4 linked regions of the Sus scrofa genome follow. The protein of the gene in region 1 purifies or fractionates together with the protein of each later gene. This does not show direct contact. Links are inferred from orthologs where the notes say so. Each region holds a gene or a part of one and is shown on either strand. Other genes may lie near its edges.

Evidence for each region. The genes of interacting proteins can lie anywhere in the genome.
Region 2: the proteins of SSRP1 (region 1) and MCM6 purify together in Homo sapiens (affinity purification with mass spectrometry; 4 studies listed by BioGRID and IntAct, with this or other methods). This does not show direct contact. The link is inferred for Sus scrofa from reciprocal best matches to the Homo sapiens genes SSRP1 and MCM6.
Region 3: the proteins of SSRP1 (region 1) and PAF1 fractionate together in Homo sapiens (co-fractionation; 3 studies listed by BioGRID and IntAct, with this or other methods). This does not show direct contact. The link is inferred for Sus scrofa from reciprocal best matches to the Homo sapiens genes SSRP1 and PAF1.
Region 4: the proteins of SSRP1 (region 1) and CSNK2A2 purify together in Homo sapiens (affinity purification with western blotting; 3 studies listed by BioGRID and IntAct, with this or other methods). This does not show direct contact. The link is inferred for Sus scrofa from reciprocal best matches to the Homo sapiens genes SSRP1 and CSNK2A2.

The regions. Positions count from the first base shown.
Region 1 is NC_010444.4:13,618,353-13,622,520, reverse strand, and holds the start of SSRP1 (FACT complex subunit SSRP1), read right to left. Parts: upstream 2,801-4,168; 5' UTR 2,640-2,800; intron 2,143-2,639; 5' UTR 2,058-2,142; coding exon 2,004-2,057; intron 1,569-2,003; coding exon 1,383-1,568; intron 731-1,382; coding exon 625-730; intron 333-624; coding exon 142-332; intron 38-141; coding exon 1-37. UniProt on the Homo sapiens protein: Component of the FACT complex, a general chromatin factor that acts to reorganize nucleosomes. The FACT complex is involved in multiple processes that require DNA as a template such as mRNA elongation, DNA replication and DNA repair.
Region 2 is NC_010457.5:15,933,638-15,937,137, forward strand, and holds part of MCM6 (DNA replication licensing factor MCM6), read left to right. Parts: intron 1-1,030; coding exon 1,031-1,196; intron 1,197-1,466; coding exon 1,467-1,612; intron 1,613-3,184; coding exon 3,185-3,335; intron 3,336-3,500. UniProt on the Homo sapiens protein: Acts as a component of the MCM2-7 complex (MCM complex) which is the replicative helicase essential for 'once per cell cycle' DNA replication initiation and elongation in eukaryotic cells.
Region 3 is NC_010448.4:48,045,987-48,050,112, forward strand, and holds the end of PAF1 (RNA polymerase II-associated factor 1 homolog), read right to left. Parts: intron 4,087-4,126; coding exon 3,985-4,086; intron 3,905-3,984; coding exon 3,799-3,904; intron 3,711-3,798; coding exon 3,454-3,710; intron 3,212-3,453; coding exon 3,095-3,211; intron 2,998-3,094; coding exon 2,869-2,997; intron 1,658-2,868; coding exon 1,552-1,657; intron 1,445-1,551; coding exon 1,354-1,444; intron 1,275-1,353; coding exon 859-1,274; 3' UTR 501-858; downstream 1-500. UniProt on the Homo sapiens protein: Component of the PAF1 complex (PAF1C) which has multiple functions during transcription by RNA polymerase II and is implicated in regulation of development and maintenance of embryonic stem cell pluripotency.
Region 4 is NC_010448.4:19,985,725-19,989,224, forward strand, and holds part of CSNK2A2 (casein kinase II subunit alpha'), read right to left. Parts: intron 1,206-3,500; coding exon 1,122-1,205; intron 123-1,121; coding exon 12-122; intron 1-11.

The DNA of each region.
Region 1 (4,168 bases):
TCACATCCGCCTTCGACAGCACATTCTGGGCAAAGGCCTATAAGAGCACACCCTGGCAATCGAGCAGCAGAGATCCTGCTCCTGGGCCACCCAGGGCCTGCTCAGCACCATCTGCTCCCAAGAGACCAGGGGAGGCCTCACCTCAACGGGGTCCACGCCATCCTCCTGGGTGGGGGGCACGTAGAAGCGCACCTCCATGAGAGAGACCTCTGCATCGTCATTCTGGTGGAATTCCAGTGTCACCTCATTCTTGCCTGTGGTACACTGGGACACGTTGCTGAGAGGGATCTCGAAGACCGGCTGGTCACCAATGTCAAAGGAAAGCAGCTGCCCTGTAGGAAAGGGCACACTGAGCCACAAGCTCCTTCCCTCGGCTCCGCATAAACAATGTTCCTTCCTACCAGCCTAGAGGCTCCCAAAGGACAGGGCACTGAGACCATTTTGTTCGCACTGTGCCCCAGGGACCGGGCACAGTGCCTCATACAGTGTTGGTCCTCGATAAATACGTGATGAATTACAAACTGGTAGGAAATCAGAAACAGCGGAGGAGAGCAAAACAAGTTAAAGGCTGAAACCCTTCAGCCTACCTCCTCCCCGCAAACCTCAATCTTCCCCAGGACTCACCCCCAAACTTCACTGTTCCCCAGTTCCAACCCTTCACACAGAGGTCCTTTTCCATCAGCTCAAGGCGATAGTGAGTTTTGAAGAAATCAGAGAGTTTCTCGAACTCCTGTGGGAAGAGGGGAAAGAACAAGCCCAGTGAAACCCCAGTAGCCTTAACACAGAACTTGAGGGTCCTGAGATTATCTGCTTCTGAGAAACGACCCCAATAAACTTTCATCAGAAATCCACGCTGACTTAGAGCTATAATATTGTTAAAACACTGTTGAAAAAGGCTATTTCTGGGGACTGGCTGGACTCGGGCTGGGGGAGGAGTAAAGTAAGGACTGACACTCCTGCTTGCAGGTCTCACAGTGTTTTTCTGACTTTGGACAGGTATTCCTTTAGTGAAAGTGGAAATGAAGTAAAGTCTTTAACACAAGCCGTTCAAAATGGAAAAACAACACCAACCTAAAACCTCAAGGTAAGCCCCTGAACCTGGATAAGGCAACAGGCAGAAACCACCAAAAAAAAAAAAAAAAAAAAAAAAAAAAAAAAAAAATCAAAACAGTAGAAAAGTTTCTGGAGTTAAAGCACAAAGAAACTCCCGAGACTCTGCAGCCCAAAGCTGAACACTGACTGCTTAATGGCTTCCACGGTCCTGCTTTAAGGATCCCAAACTAGCAACTGCACGGTTATCAGAAGGAGCCCCACTTCTCTCAAGAAGATTAAAACTAAAGAAGATGGCACAGTAAAGGGGGCTATGGCAAGGGGCATCTCACCGATTCTCGGAAGCCGTCGTACTTGTAGACGTGGCCATTTTTCGTGAGCAGTTTAAGTCCATGGCCCAGAGCTACTCGGCGCCAGATCCCTTCGGTCAACTCCCCAGCCTGGATGTTGTCCACTTTGCCCGTTTTACTGTTCTTGAAGATGATGCCCTGGCGGCTCAACCTCAGCCGACCATCATTCTGTTGGGAAAACAGGCCCAAATGCACAGGGACGACCATAGCGTAGAGCAGGGACGGTCCCACCCAACACCCATTCTGGGCTGGTCAGGTATCAGGCAGGAGCAATAACAGCTGAAGTGGTGAGGGCTGGCAAGAAGAGACGAGTAAGGCCAGAAGATCTGGATTCTAATCCTCGCTCTGGCATCCAGAACCCGTGCAGGTCCTCAGTTTGGGGATTCAGGATTGAGCAGCAGGTGTAGTCCCTTCAAACTCTGACATCCTGTAACTCTTGTATCCTCACTCAGTAATGCTTCTTGTTGGGGAACTACCAAATACACATCGAACTGACTTCTTTTCCAAAGTAGCAACATCATCAGCACAAGCTCTTGCGAGTGGATAAAAAGTCTACTCCGCCTCCCTCCCTCCATCTGTTTCAAAAGCCCCAGTCCTTCTTACCATAGAGCCTTTCACCTCCTGATACACGTCGTTGAACTCCAGTGTTTCTGCCATGCTGACCTGCCCCTGTAGGCCTCAACTGGGAGCTGGGCCCCAACTCCTGGGTACGTTGTGCAGATACACAACGCAGGCTGGGAATCTGAATTGAAGAGGGATAAGTGGATTGAAGTTAAGTGGAAAAAACAACACCTCATGCTGGCCACGGAGGGAGCCTAGTGGCAACCCTTCCTGTGCCTGGGATGTCTCACGATCTCCCTGCCTGGGAACCCTGCAAGCCGGTTCTGCAGAACTCCAGGGCCAGGCCCGGCCGGGGCTTAAGAAGCCGGCCCGAAGTACCTCTTACATCCCAACCAGACACCCCCTCTGGGCGCTCCACCGGGCGCCATGGCAACGAGCAGCGGAACCCCTGGGCCATCCGGAGCCCGCACCTCGCCCGCGCCCCAACCCCGCTCAAAAAGCACGAGTTCCCTCCCAGCGCTCCCACCGCGCCGCGGCCCCAGGCCCACAGTTCTCCCCTCCCGCTAAAATGGATTCGCCCGCTGCCCGCGGATTCCAACGCGGAACAGTCCATCCCACGCGTCCCGCGGGGGAGCAGGGCCCTCGCCTTCCTGGGGCGCGGCGATAGCGACCACCTACTTTCTCAAGCTGCGGCCTCAGACGGCCCGCAAGCGGGCGGTGGGCTCGCTGGGGGACGCAGCGGGGGTGTAGGGTCCGGGGGGTCCGGGGGGGACGCTGGGGAAGCTTTTCCCGCGTGCGCGGCCCCGCGTCCCGCCACCGGAAGCCCAGCACGGACCATAGAGAGGAGGAGCCGGCTAGAGAGGCGCGAAACGCGGCCCGCCTTCGAGGCGGTCCCATAGAGCGTCCACAGCGCTGGAGGACCTGAGGGAAGCCGGGTTACACTGATGTCCCGCCCGTTTGGCGTCCGACTAGAAAATGGGAGCGTGTCGGGCTCTTTAAAAATCACAGACACTCCTTCCGGGAACGACAAGACTTTAAAGAGAAACTGTGTAGTTGCATTTTATCAGACTTGCCAAAGATGCGTGTGCGTGCGTAGCAATGACGGGCGACTCTCTCCCGCCCCATAGTGGTTTCTGTGGAATAGAAAGGAGTTTGTAGGACAAGAAGGAAAATATTTAACGACTTGTGGAGAGAAATGACCCCTCCCACTGGCTTCGAAGAGAATGCGAGTGTTGGTATCGCTGTGACTATACTGCTCACCCCTGTCACAAGGGATTGGATCCTTTTTGAAGTGAGTTCACTGCACCCCAAAACTTGACATCGATAAATGCAAGGTTTGAGTCTCCTGGAAGAGGCTGGCCAGCGGCGGCGGCGGCGGCGGTATCAGGTTCAAGTGCTGGTGTCACATTCACCGTGGAGCCAGAACTGATTTGAAATCACAGCAGCCTGGGCTTTCATAAGCCAGATCCCCCTTATGGAGTCCTAGGGTGCACCTCGCAAAATCAGAGGAGGCTGGACGAGTAAGAGATGTTTGGATTCGTCTGCTCCAGCTTCCTTTTGAAGATCGGGAAACTGAGGCCCTAAGAGGAGTGGCCTGGGGAACAAAACCCAAAATCTACTTAGCCCGTCTAGTGATTCTCCATTCGGAATGATTGATAATAGATGTCAAGTATACAAAACATTGAGACAGAATATTTAAACTCCAGATTTCTTTGACAGTCTGACCTACAGTTACCCCAGCTTGGGACACAAGATGACGTGAATGCACTGTTGCTCCCTGAACTCACGACTTTAACCTCTGGGTAATGGCTGTTCCCACGCTATCTAGCAACATAAGCCAACTAGATTCAACAGATATGTGTTGAACTCTAACACAGTGATAGGATTTGTGGAAACTAGTAAACAAGATGGAAACAGCCCCAGTTTTCCAGGCATGTGACATCTAATAAATGATTCAAATAAGTAAACTGATGGTAAAACAAAATAGAACAAGAAAATACCCAATGTGGGAGTTCCCTTCGTGGCTCAATGGTTAATGAACCCAACTAGGCTCCACAAGGATGTGGGTTCGATCTCTGACCTCCTTCAGCGGGTTAAGGATCTGGTGTTGCCGTGAGCTGTGGTGTAGGTCGCAGAAGCAGCTCGGATCCCACGTGGCTGTGGCTGTGGCATAGGCCGGCAGCTGTAGCTCTGATTCGACCCCCTAG
Region 2 (3,500 bases), on another chromosome or scaffold:
TAGATAATCAAAAACGATTTAATTCTCTTGGTGGGATTGATAGTATTCCTAGGAAATGGATGCTAAAATATTTGGGGACGAAGTATCTTGAGTTTTGCAGCTTCTTTCAAATACTACAGTAAAAGTATGTGTGCGTTTTAGGAAATGTTAACAGTTGTTTTGAGGTGGAGAGTATAATAGATGTGAAGTTTTTCATAAAATTTCCCTGACAGTTTAGAGGAAGATGGAATACAGAACAGATATTTAAAGTCAGTTTGAACAAAGAGAAAGAAGTATTTCTTAATGAGAGTAAAAGTGAAGTTGAAGTTTTTAATAGTTGTAATCTCTTAGCAAACTGAAAGGACTTTTATGGTAGAGATTTTTTTTTTTTTTTCCCCCCCTAGGGCTGCTCCCATGGCATATGGAGGTTCCCAGGCCAGGGGTCTAATTGGAGCTGTAGCCACTGGCCTACACCAGAGCCACAGCAACGCAGGATCCAAGCCGTGTCTGTGACCTACACCACCACTCATGGCAACGCCAGATCCTTGACCCACTGAGCAAGGCCAGGGATCAAACCCGCAACCTCATGGTTCCTAGTCAGATTCATTAACCACTGTGCCATGATAGGAACTCCTGGTAGAGAATTTTTAAGATGAATGTTGGCACATGTCAGAAGTATGTAGGAGTTGCCATTGTGGCTCAGTGGTTAACAAGTCCAACTAGGAACCATGAGGTTGTGGGTTCAATCCCTGGCCTTGCTCAGTGGATTAAGGATTGGGCATTGCCATGAACTGTGGTATAGGTCACAGACGTGGCTTGGTCTGATGTTGCTGTGGCTGTGGCTGTGGTGTACGCTGGCAGCTGTAGCTCTGATTAGACCCCTAGCCTGGAAACCTACATATGCCGTGGGTGCGGCCCTAAAAAAAAAAAAAAAAAGTCTGCAAACTGGTAAGATAATTTAGGATATGTCAATAATTGTGGCATTTAATTTAGATTGCATGGCATTTGAAAAAGATGACTTCTCATTCTTGGCCATTTGTCTTTGTTACAGGTTCGTATTCAGGAGACTCAAGCTGAGCTTCCCCGAGGGAGTATCCCCCGCAGCCTAGAAGTGATCTTGAGGGCTGAAGCTGTGGAGTCAGCTCAAGCTGGTGACAAGTGTGACTTCACAGGAACGCTGATTGTTGTGCCTGACGTGTCTAAGCTTAGCACACCAGGTCAGTAATCTGTGGCTCAGATTTAACAAATTCTTGGTTACCTAACCTACAGAGTATCTGGTTTCTTGTATCTTCCTTGTCTTGTTTTTGGCTACCAATCAGAGGATGAGCAAGGAACTATGACGAGAATAAAGACAAATTGGTTTTGCTATAGAAGGTACTGTTCTGAAAAATTTCAAAGTCTAAATAAGTTTCATTTAACTGAGCAATTTTGATTCACAGCACCTTGAATATTTGAACTGTGAAACAACCTATCCTTCGATCTTTCAGGAGCACGTGCAGAAACTAATTCCCGTGTGAATGGTGTTGATGGATATGAGACAGAAGGCATTCGAGGACTCCGGGCCCTTGGTGTTAGGGACCTTTCATATAGGCTGGTCTTTCTTGCGTGCTGTGTTGCACCGACCAACCCAAGGGTGAGTTTTTTTTTTTTTGTCTTTCGTCTTTTAAGGGCCATGCCTGTGGCCTGTGGAGGTTCCCAGGCTAAGGGTCTACTACTCCACAGCCAGAGCAACGTGGGATCTTAGCCACATCTGTGACCTACACCACAGCTCACGGCAATGCCAGATCCTTAACCTACTGAGTGAGGCCAGGGATGGAACCCATGTCCTCATGGATGCTAGTCAGGTTCGTTAACCACTGAGCCATGACGGGAACTCCCTAAGGGTGATTCTTAGAATAGCAAAGCTTGGGAAAGACATCTGCTGATGCTGCCACAAAGTTATAATCTTCTGAAACTCGGTTTTAAAGGCAGGGGGGTGGGTTGAGATTTGTTCTTGAAAGCAGATGTTTTTGTGTCTGTCTGTCCCACCTTAAAGAAAAATCTTACTTGTTTTCATGCATAAGCACCGAGTACTTTAAAAGCATTGGTACAAATAATCCATAGCGTTTTTGTTTTTTTTTTTTTTCATTTTTAATTGTCGCAGTCCCTCTGTCATGCTCCTTGAGAAAGTATAAATAGAAAAACTTTAGTAATCTGAAGGTACAGTATAGCACTCTTTCTGAGAGTGACGTATCCCTTGTATTATAGTTCAGAACTTGATTTTGTGTCCAGGATGGGAAAGCAGTGAAAAAATGTTTGGACAGTAGTTTAGTACTGGAAAATGAGAGGGAAACATAATACTCTGTTACTTCTTTCATCCTCATATCAGTGATTAACATTTTATTATGGCTCATCTCTTGAGTATCTAGATTCATTTATAGCAATACGAAAAAATGGTAGCTTTTTTGTTACTTTTAATTCACTGGACAGATGATAAGTTCTTCAGTGTCTTGATAAACTTAGCCCATAGTGGTTAAGAAATAGTTTTTTATTTTTTTATTTTTTATTTTTTTTGTCTTTTTGATATTTCTTGGGCCGCCCCTGCAGCATATGAAGGTTCCCAGGCTAGGGGTCGAATCGGAGCCATAGCCACTGGCCTACGCCAGAGCCACAGCAACGCGGGATCCGAGCCGCGTCTGTGACCTACACCACAGCTCCCGGCAACGCTGGATCGTTAACCCACTGAGCAAGGGCAGGGACCGAACCCGCAACGTCATGGTTCCTAGTCGGATTCATTAACCACTGCGCCACGATGGGAACTCCCGGAAATAGTTTTTTAAAATAGGGCCATACTCATGGCATATAGAGGTTCCCAGGCTAGAGGTTGAATTGGAATTATAGCTGCTGGCCTATACCACAGACATAGCAATGCCAGATCCGAGCCATGTCTGCAACCTACACCACAGCTCACGGCAGCACTGGATCCTTAACCCACTGAGCGAGGCCAGAGATCAAGCCTATGTCCTCATGGATGCTAGTCCGATTCCTTTCAGCTGAGCCACTATGAAAACTGGTTAGGAATTTTTTTAAAAAAAAACTTTACAATCAACAGATTTTGAAGTTTACCTCCCAGGCTTTATTTTATTTGTGCTGACATTTCTTCTCTTTCACATTATTTTGACTATTTCTGTACTACTGTTTTTTCCCTTTCTTCTCCACCATTCAGTTTGGAGGAAAAGAGCTCCGAGATGAGGAGCAGACGGCTGAGAGCATTAAGAACCAAATGACTGTGAAGGAGTGGGAGAAGGTGTTTGAAATGAGTCAAGATAAAAATCTATACCACAATCTTTGCACAAGCCTGTTTCCTACTATACATGGTAAGAGTCCTTTTATCCATTTGTGGTCTAAACTTGAAATCAAAATAATGATTATATTTTTTAAATTTTTAATTTTTTTCTATTAAAAAAATTTTTTTTTTTTTGTCTTTTCTAGGGCCTCACCTGCAGCATATGGAGGTTACCAGGCTAGGGGTTGAATCGGAG
Region 3 (4,126 bases), on another chromosome or scaffold:
AGGTTTATTTATGTACCTCTTGCACACTCATCAACCTATGCAAGTCCCCCACCCCGGCCCCTCCATGTTTCTGTGCCTTTGCTCATTCCCCTCCAACTCCCAGGGCTTCCCCAGTCCTCCTCCCAGCCCAGGGAAGTGGGATGGACAGGGGCCACCTCGTTTGGAATCAGCAGGGTGTCCCTCTTAAGAGACCCTCACCTCCTCCCAGCAGTCCTGTCCTGTTCACTACCCATCAGAGTGAGCTGGGTCTGCCAGGCACTGGGAGGTGGTGAGGGGCACCCCCAAACACAGCGGGAGGCAAGAGCTGCTGCCCTCCCCACCACCTGACAGAGTGTGCAGGACGCAGGCGCCCCACTCTGATGGGCAGGATCCTGACCCACTCCCATCCCTCCCCAGCCCCTGGCCCCTCTGCCATGATTTCACCCTCCCTTTTATCCCTAGCCCCACTGGCAGAATCAGCTTTGAGTAACTGTACAGTTTTTCTCGCTGTTGGAGAAAACTTATTTGTTGGAGTTTCACTTGTTTAATGGTCTGGGCTTATTTTGGAAAAAAAGAAAAAACAAACAAACAAAAAGGATTCTGACCTTTGTTATGCTACATTTCATGGAAAACCTAGTGGCCCTACCTCTGTGGCCTTTGCTTCTGTGCCTTAAGCACCTGTGGGGGTGGGGGTGGGAGGAGGGGGCAGAAGGAGACTGTAGTGCCTGGGAGGGGAAGTAAAGGAAGGTGGCTTTATTAAACAGCAAAGGTTTGGAGGAGGAGAGAGAAACAAAGCAGAAAGCTTGCAAATAGACCACTTGAAAAGTGCCTTCCTGCGCGTAGTAATTGTACCTGCTCCAGCCCTGAAGGCCCTGGGACTCAGTCACTGTCACTGTCAGCTTCACTGGAATCCGAAGCTGCAGCTTCACTGCCATCCTCCTGAGCAGAATGCTCGCTGCCACTGGGGAAGGGACTGGCACTCCGGCTCCGGCTGTGGCTCCGGCTCCGCTGGCCACCCCCATCACTGCCACTGTCCGAATCATTGTCACTGCCTCGGGCCCGTCCTCTGTCCTCATCGTCAGAGTCAGCGTCATCCTCTGAATCAGCATCACTGCCGAAGATCTCTTCTTTGTCCCTGGCAGCCCGGGCCTCATCCTCACTGCTTTCATCCTCGCCGCTGCCGCTCTTGTCACTGGCCTCATCTCTGTCACCCTCCTCTCGTTCACTCTCACTGCCCGAGCGCTCATCCTCGCTGCCTTCCTTCTCACTGCTGCTGCCCTTCTCTCGTTCCTCATCTGTGAAAGGAGCATGAAGAAGTGAGACCCAGTTCTCGACCCTCCCCGGGCTCCCAGAGTTTGGCTGGTCCAGCTTTACCTGAGCCCCCAGCTTCTTTCTCTTCTGTCTCCATTTCCTCCTCCTCTTCCTCCTCTGGTTCGTGGTTCTCCAGCTGGGCCTTCCGTGCCTCCTGGAAGCAGCAGGGGTGAGGGGAAGGAGAGTGTTCTGTACACCTCCTCTCTCTCCTCACCAACCTTCACCCTCCCCGTGGGTGCCCTGGATCGTGGTGCTTGTTACCTGGGCTTCTAACTCCTTCTCATTCATGTCCCGATGTTTGACCACAAGCAGGGCATTGGTACCAGACTGAACCCCAGCCTTGGCCCGGCGCTTACTCAGGCGGACCCTGCAACGGTGGAGTTGGGGGAGAGGGATGTGGAAGAGATTCGGTTAAAGAACTCACCCCTGTGGGGAAGCTGGACTGACTTGGTTCTTCCTTACCCATCCTTACTCATTTACGCTTGGCCCAGAATAAATACAGACTGCATAAGGGAGGCTAAACTTGGGGACAGGGATGACAGCTCCCGAGATAGCAGTGTAGTTGCCCTGCGCTGTGTATGTGTGTGTATGTATGCCCTGTACATATACACGTAAGTGTATGAATAAATAGATTTTAGTGTGAATTAGGTATTAACATTTAGAATTTGGATTTCTGGCTTTTGGAAAATAAGACCCCACTCGGCCCTTGCTGCACCCCCTCCCCACAGCATAGCAGCAGTGGGCTGTGTCATGGTGCCCCTTGGAGGCTGCCAGGAGCTCCAAGTCATCTGGACCCCGATAGCCTACTGTGCTTTCTACCTTTCTTGCTTGGCTTAATGGGATCAAAATTTGTGATCTCTGCTTTAAATAGAAACTCAAGGTCATACTTTCCTTGCCAGTCTTTACACACCAAGGATCCCACCACAGCCGTTTTCGCCATCAGGGAAAACTTTTAGGTGGTCACATGTTGAACTTGGATATCTAGTGTTTCATTTAAAATAGCCATGCTCATTTTATGCATTACTCTATACTTCGGCTATGTTTACTTCCACGTGAAGTCTCTTACTAACATCAGGGGATACTTGGCAGTCTACCCTACGTGAACACTAAACATCTCCAGTATTAGTTAGGTAAAGATTTTCTTCCTGGAGTTCCTGTCATGGTGCAGTGGAAACAAATCTGACTAGGAACCATGAGGTTGCGGGTTCAATCCCTGGCCTCAGTGGATTAAAGATCCAGCATTGCCATGAGCTGTGGTATATAGGTCACAGATTCAGCTTGGATCTGGCATTGCTGTGGCTGTGGCACAGGCCGGCAGCTACAGCTCTGATTAGACCCCTAGCCTGGGAACCTCCATATGCCTCAGGTGCAGCCCTTTAAAAAAAAAAAATGTCTTCCTGGGTTCTTATGTTAGAACCAGGTCTAGCCCGCAAGGGTGATCAGGCTCCTGCTCTTACAAATGCACATGGCAAATCCTTAGGTACAAATGACCTCCGAGGTGGCACTTGCATACCCCAGGGTCCTGAATCTGAAGTACAAGCCCAGATAATCTCAGTGAGGTAGGACAGTGCTAAGTACCTGGTCTCCAATTCATTGTAGTAAACCCCATCCCCCTCTCGGAAGATGAAGAAGTAGTTTTCCTCGTAGCCCTTGCTGGCCTTGTTCTTCACATTCCAGTTGTACTCGCGAGCAATCTTGTAGTCATACCTAAGGATGAAGGGGACAGGGTCAGCCATTTCTTCCCTGTGAAGGAGAAAAAGAGACCTACTCCTTAACACCCCAAACCTAACTCCAACCCACATACACATCATCTGGCGCATAATCCATCTCCTCCTCCTGGTCCCGTTTTCGTTTCTTCAGGGTTTCTTCCACAGGCAGGAAGTAAGCCACAAACTGGTTCCCTTCCTCATCCATCATGCCCCTGGTTGGGAGGAAAAGAGGAGCAGCTAAAAACAAAGACAAAGATGGGCATCCTCTTGTGGTGTATCAGCAGCTAAGGATCTGGCATTGTCACTGCAGTGGGTTGGATCACTACTATGGTGTGGGTTCAGTCCCTGGCCAGGGAACTTCTTCGTGTCGCCCCCCCCCAAAAAAGAATGGGGGTGGGTGGGTGGGGAGGGGGCCAATAAGGAGCAGGCCAAGGTGAGCAGCAGGACCACTTACCTGATCATGGCCTGAGACATCATCTCCAATGCAGCTGCACCACTCGTGTCCTTTGGGGCTGGGTCTGAATCAAAGATCACCTGAGCACATGGGTTGATCCACATCTGGGGGATGGAGGGCACTGGGATTAGAATGGGACAGCCAGAGATCACAGGCGATCCCTCTCTGCCTCCTGCCCTGGATCTGACCTTAAAATCTGGAAAGACAGGCATGACCTCCACTGGTGTCACTCGAGGCTTGCTGTAATGCTGGGAGATCTGATAGGGGCAAAAGCAGGATGAGGAGTACACAGCACTCTGAAGCCACCCCGCTGACTGCCTCCCCCCATCCCAGTCCCTCAATTACAGATTTCTGGGCATCCTCAAAAGTCTTCTCAATAGCTGTGATCTGGCTATCCCTGTCTTTGTATATTTCTTCCTCAGTGAACTGCTGCTTCACAGAAACCCCAATCCTAGGAAGGAACAGAAAGGCCTTTAGGGACCACTAGACGCACCTGATATCTCCACCTTCCCTCCCTACCCACCAGCTTACTTGACCTCAGGCTTCTCATTGGAAATGCCGTAACGATTGAACTCCGTGGAGATATACTCTGTCTTCCGCATCCATGGCACCACCTTCGCATGCTGCTGGGATCTGGGATGGAAGGCTCAGGCACTTTAGGACCCCATCGCCC
Region 4 (3,500 bases), on another chromosome or scaffold:
AACAATTTTACCTGATAGTCCACAAGGAGCTCTGGTCCCTTGAAGTACCGCGAGGCTACTCGGACATTGTACTCCTGAGCTGGATGATAGAATTCTGCCAAACCCCAGTCTATCAGTCGCAGCTATAAGTATGGCAAATAAAACGTGGGAAAGGAATGTTTTTTAGATGCCTGTGTCTTACAACAAGGCCACATCATTTTAGATAAGTATTTGGCCACATAAAGTACACTGTTGATACTTTCAGCAACTACATTTAAGATTATTTCTAAAGCAGAGCACCTGGAATCTTACTTGCTTTTTCTTTTAAAAATTTAAATTATCCTGGCTTATCATTCTTTTTACCCCTCCCCCTTTTTACAGCCATACCTGGGGAACATTCGAGTTCCCAGGCTAGGGGTGGAATCAGAGCTGCAGCAATGTGAGATCCAAGCCACATCTGTCACCTATACTGTGGCAACGCTGGATTCTTAACCCACTAAGCCAGCCAGGGATCAAACCCGCACCCTCACAGAGACAAGGGTTTGAGTTCTTAAGCTGCTGAGCCACAAAAGGGACTCCTTATCATTCTCTTTAGATCAATAAAGCTTAAGTTTTTATTCTGCCTCCATCCAGTTGCATGTGATAACACATCCACCTCATTATTGACAGCTTTCATTATAAAGCTCTAGTCATAACAGAAAGAAATGGAGCATGTGCCCTGTTCTAGGACTGAAGCACTGCTCTAGCTTTTCATTAATCTAACACTAGCTAATTCATTTATTCACCAGTGAGGTACAATCAGGACTGAATACTGAAAAGAGGTGGCATCCAAGTGTACTTTTTAATCATAAGGCCAGGCCGACTGGTCTGAGGATCGTTAAGAAAGGAAGTAGAAATCAGCAACCGTAATTTCTTTCTTGAGGCCCCCCGGAAAACCATCATCAAGGTAAACAAGTAACTACACTTAGGGTCAGCTGTCTACTTTCCTTGTGTACTATGCTTACGCCAAGTACACTGGAGACTGAAGAAATACAACATCACAAGTCTTCCAAAGAAAAAAACAACATGGGTCTTTATAAACCAGCTAGGTACTGGCCAAAGTCTTTCAATGAAAGGCTTGCACTGCCTGGCTGTAATGGTACCTTTTTCTGTTGGTGATCTATCATGACATTGTGAGGTTTCACATCCCTGTGCATGATTCCCTTGCTGTGGCAGTAATCCAGAGCCTATTAGATAAGAAAGCACAGAGAAAAGTAAGCAAACCCTCTATCACCTTCCTCCCAATGCAAGCATATTCTTAGTACTTGTTCGCACCAGTTTGATTTGAATAGTCTCCCAAGGAGCAGCTTACTGTCTGTAACAACAACAAAAAACATGCTTCAGAAGGCACCCCTTGCTCTCTGAGCACACTATGCTAGCAGAATGGGGGCTGTGGAGGGGAGTCACCAAGGACTATGATGATTTCCCTTTTTCAGCCACCCTGCAGCATATGGAGTTCCTGGACCAGAGATCAGATTTGAGCCACAGTTTAGACCGACACTGCAGCTACACCAGATCCCTTCACCCACTGTACCAGGTCGGGGATTGAACTTGCATCCTGGTGCTGCAGAATGCCACAGCAGGAAATCCATGAAGATTTCTTAAAAGGGGGAAATTACATATTTCTTTGGGCATTTGTCTCTACCTATGGCTGGAAGCAACTATTAGTCGCATGAATTTAAAACGTACATGAATCTGTTGGTCTAATTTGGTGTGCCTAAAACCAGATCTAGGAACCTCAGTGGAGTCATTCCTCATGCCAGTTTCAAATGACATGTAAGAACCCATGTAGACATGAAGAATGACATCTAAATATACTGGCAGTGTGGCCTGTCTTTTACAAAATCCCACGTGGGTTTTGTAGACTAAGATGTATTCTAATATTAGAATTTTCCTTAAAAACAATCCCTGATCCAGTTAAAGAATTATGACTCTGAAGGAGAAAACTGCTTCCTGTAAGACCACTGACACGCAGCTAAGATTTTTTTTTTCTTTTTTTGGCCACACCCATGGCACATGGAAGTTTCTGGGCCAGGGATCGAATCCCAGCAACAGCTGTGACCTATGCCACTGATCCACCACCTGTTGCTACAGATTTGCCTTTTCTGGACATTCATAAAATGAAATAATATATACAGTTCTTTTTTTTTTTTTGTCTTTTTTGCTATTTCTTGGGCCGCTCCAGCGGCATATGGAGGTTCCCAGGCTAGGGGTCGAATTGGAGCTGTAGCCACTGGCCTACGCCAGAGCCACAGCAACACAGGATCCGAGCCGAGTCTGCAACCTACACCACAGCTCACAGCAACGCCGGATCGTTAACCCACTGAGCAGGGGCAGGGACTGAACCGGCAACCTCATGGTTCCTAGTCGGATTCGTTAACCACTGCGCCATGACGGGAACTCCCTATACAGTTCTTTATCTTCTTTCACTAAGCATAACGTTTCTAAGATTCATCCATGTTGCTTTTTTTCCTTGTAGTAGTATTCCAGTGACCGAATACACTGCTGATGTAAAAAAGTCTTTGAGGAGTTCCCGTCGTGGCGCAGTGGTTAACAAATCGACTAGGAACCATGAGGTTGCGGGTTCGGTCTGGGCCCTTGCACAGTGGGTTAACGATCCGGGGTTGCCATGAGCTGTGGTGTAGGTTGCAGACGAGGCTCGGATCCCGCGTTGCTGTGGCTCTGGCGTAGGCTGGTGGCTACAGCTCCAATTCGACCCCTATCCTGGGAACCTCCGTATGCCGCAGGAGCGGCCCAAGAAATAGCAAAAAGACAAAAAAAAAAAAAAAAGGAGTTAAAAAAAAAAAGTCTTTTAGAGGACATATGTTTTTATTTCTCTTGGGTAGACTCCTAAAGGTGGAAGTGCTGGGCTATAATTACAATAAACTTTTCAAGAGTTTGCCTAATTATTTCCCAAAGTGGCTGAACCATTTTACATTCCCATTAGCAATGTATGGGGGCTCCAGTTTCTCTACATCCTCACTAACACTTGTTACTGTTTATCTTTCTGATTAGAGCCTTTCTAGTGGGTTTGAAGAGGTATTTCATTATGGTTTTGCTATTTCTATAATGAATGATCAGGTTACACATCTTTTCTTTGGACAATTGTTAATTCAAATCTTTCACCCATTTCTTACTTGGGTTAAGTTTGTTTTTAAGGAATATAAAAATTTGCTTCTAAATCTGCGTTTTCCAATACAGAAAATAAATTTTCATAAATTTCAACGTTGGGCCCTTTGGCTTGTCTTAAAAAGCCCTTGAAGCCTATGAGTCCCACATTTTATGTCTTATCCATAAAGTACTCCTTGAGTAATGATGACAGCAATCCACAATCTTAAGAGTACCTACTGATGCGCCTGGCATTGAGAGCTCTTATAAGATGGAATTGTCCAAGAGACAAGATTAGGTCTTTTCCATGTCGGCACCATTGACACTTTGGACCAGAGGATTCTTTGTTACGGGTAGCAGTCCTGTGCATTATT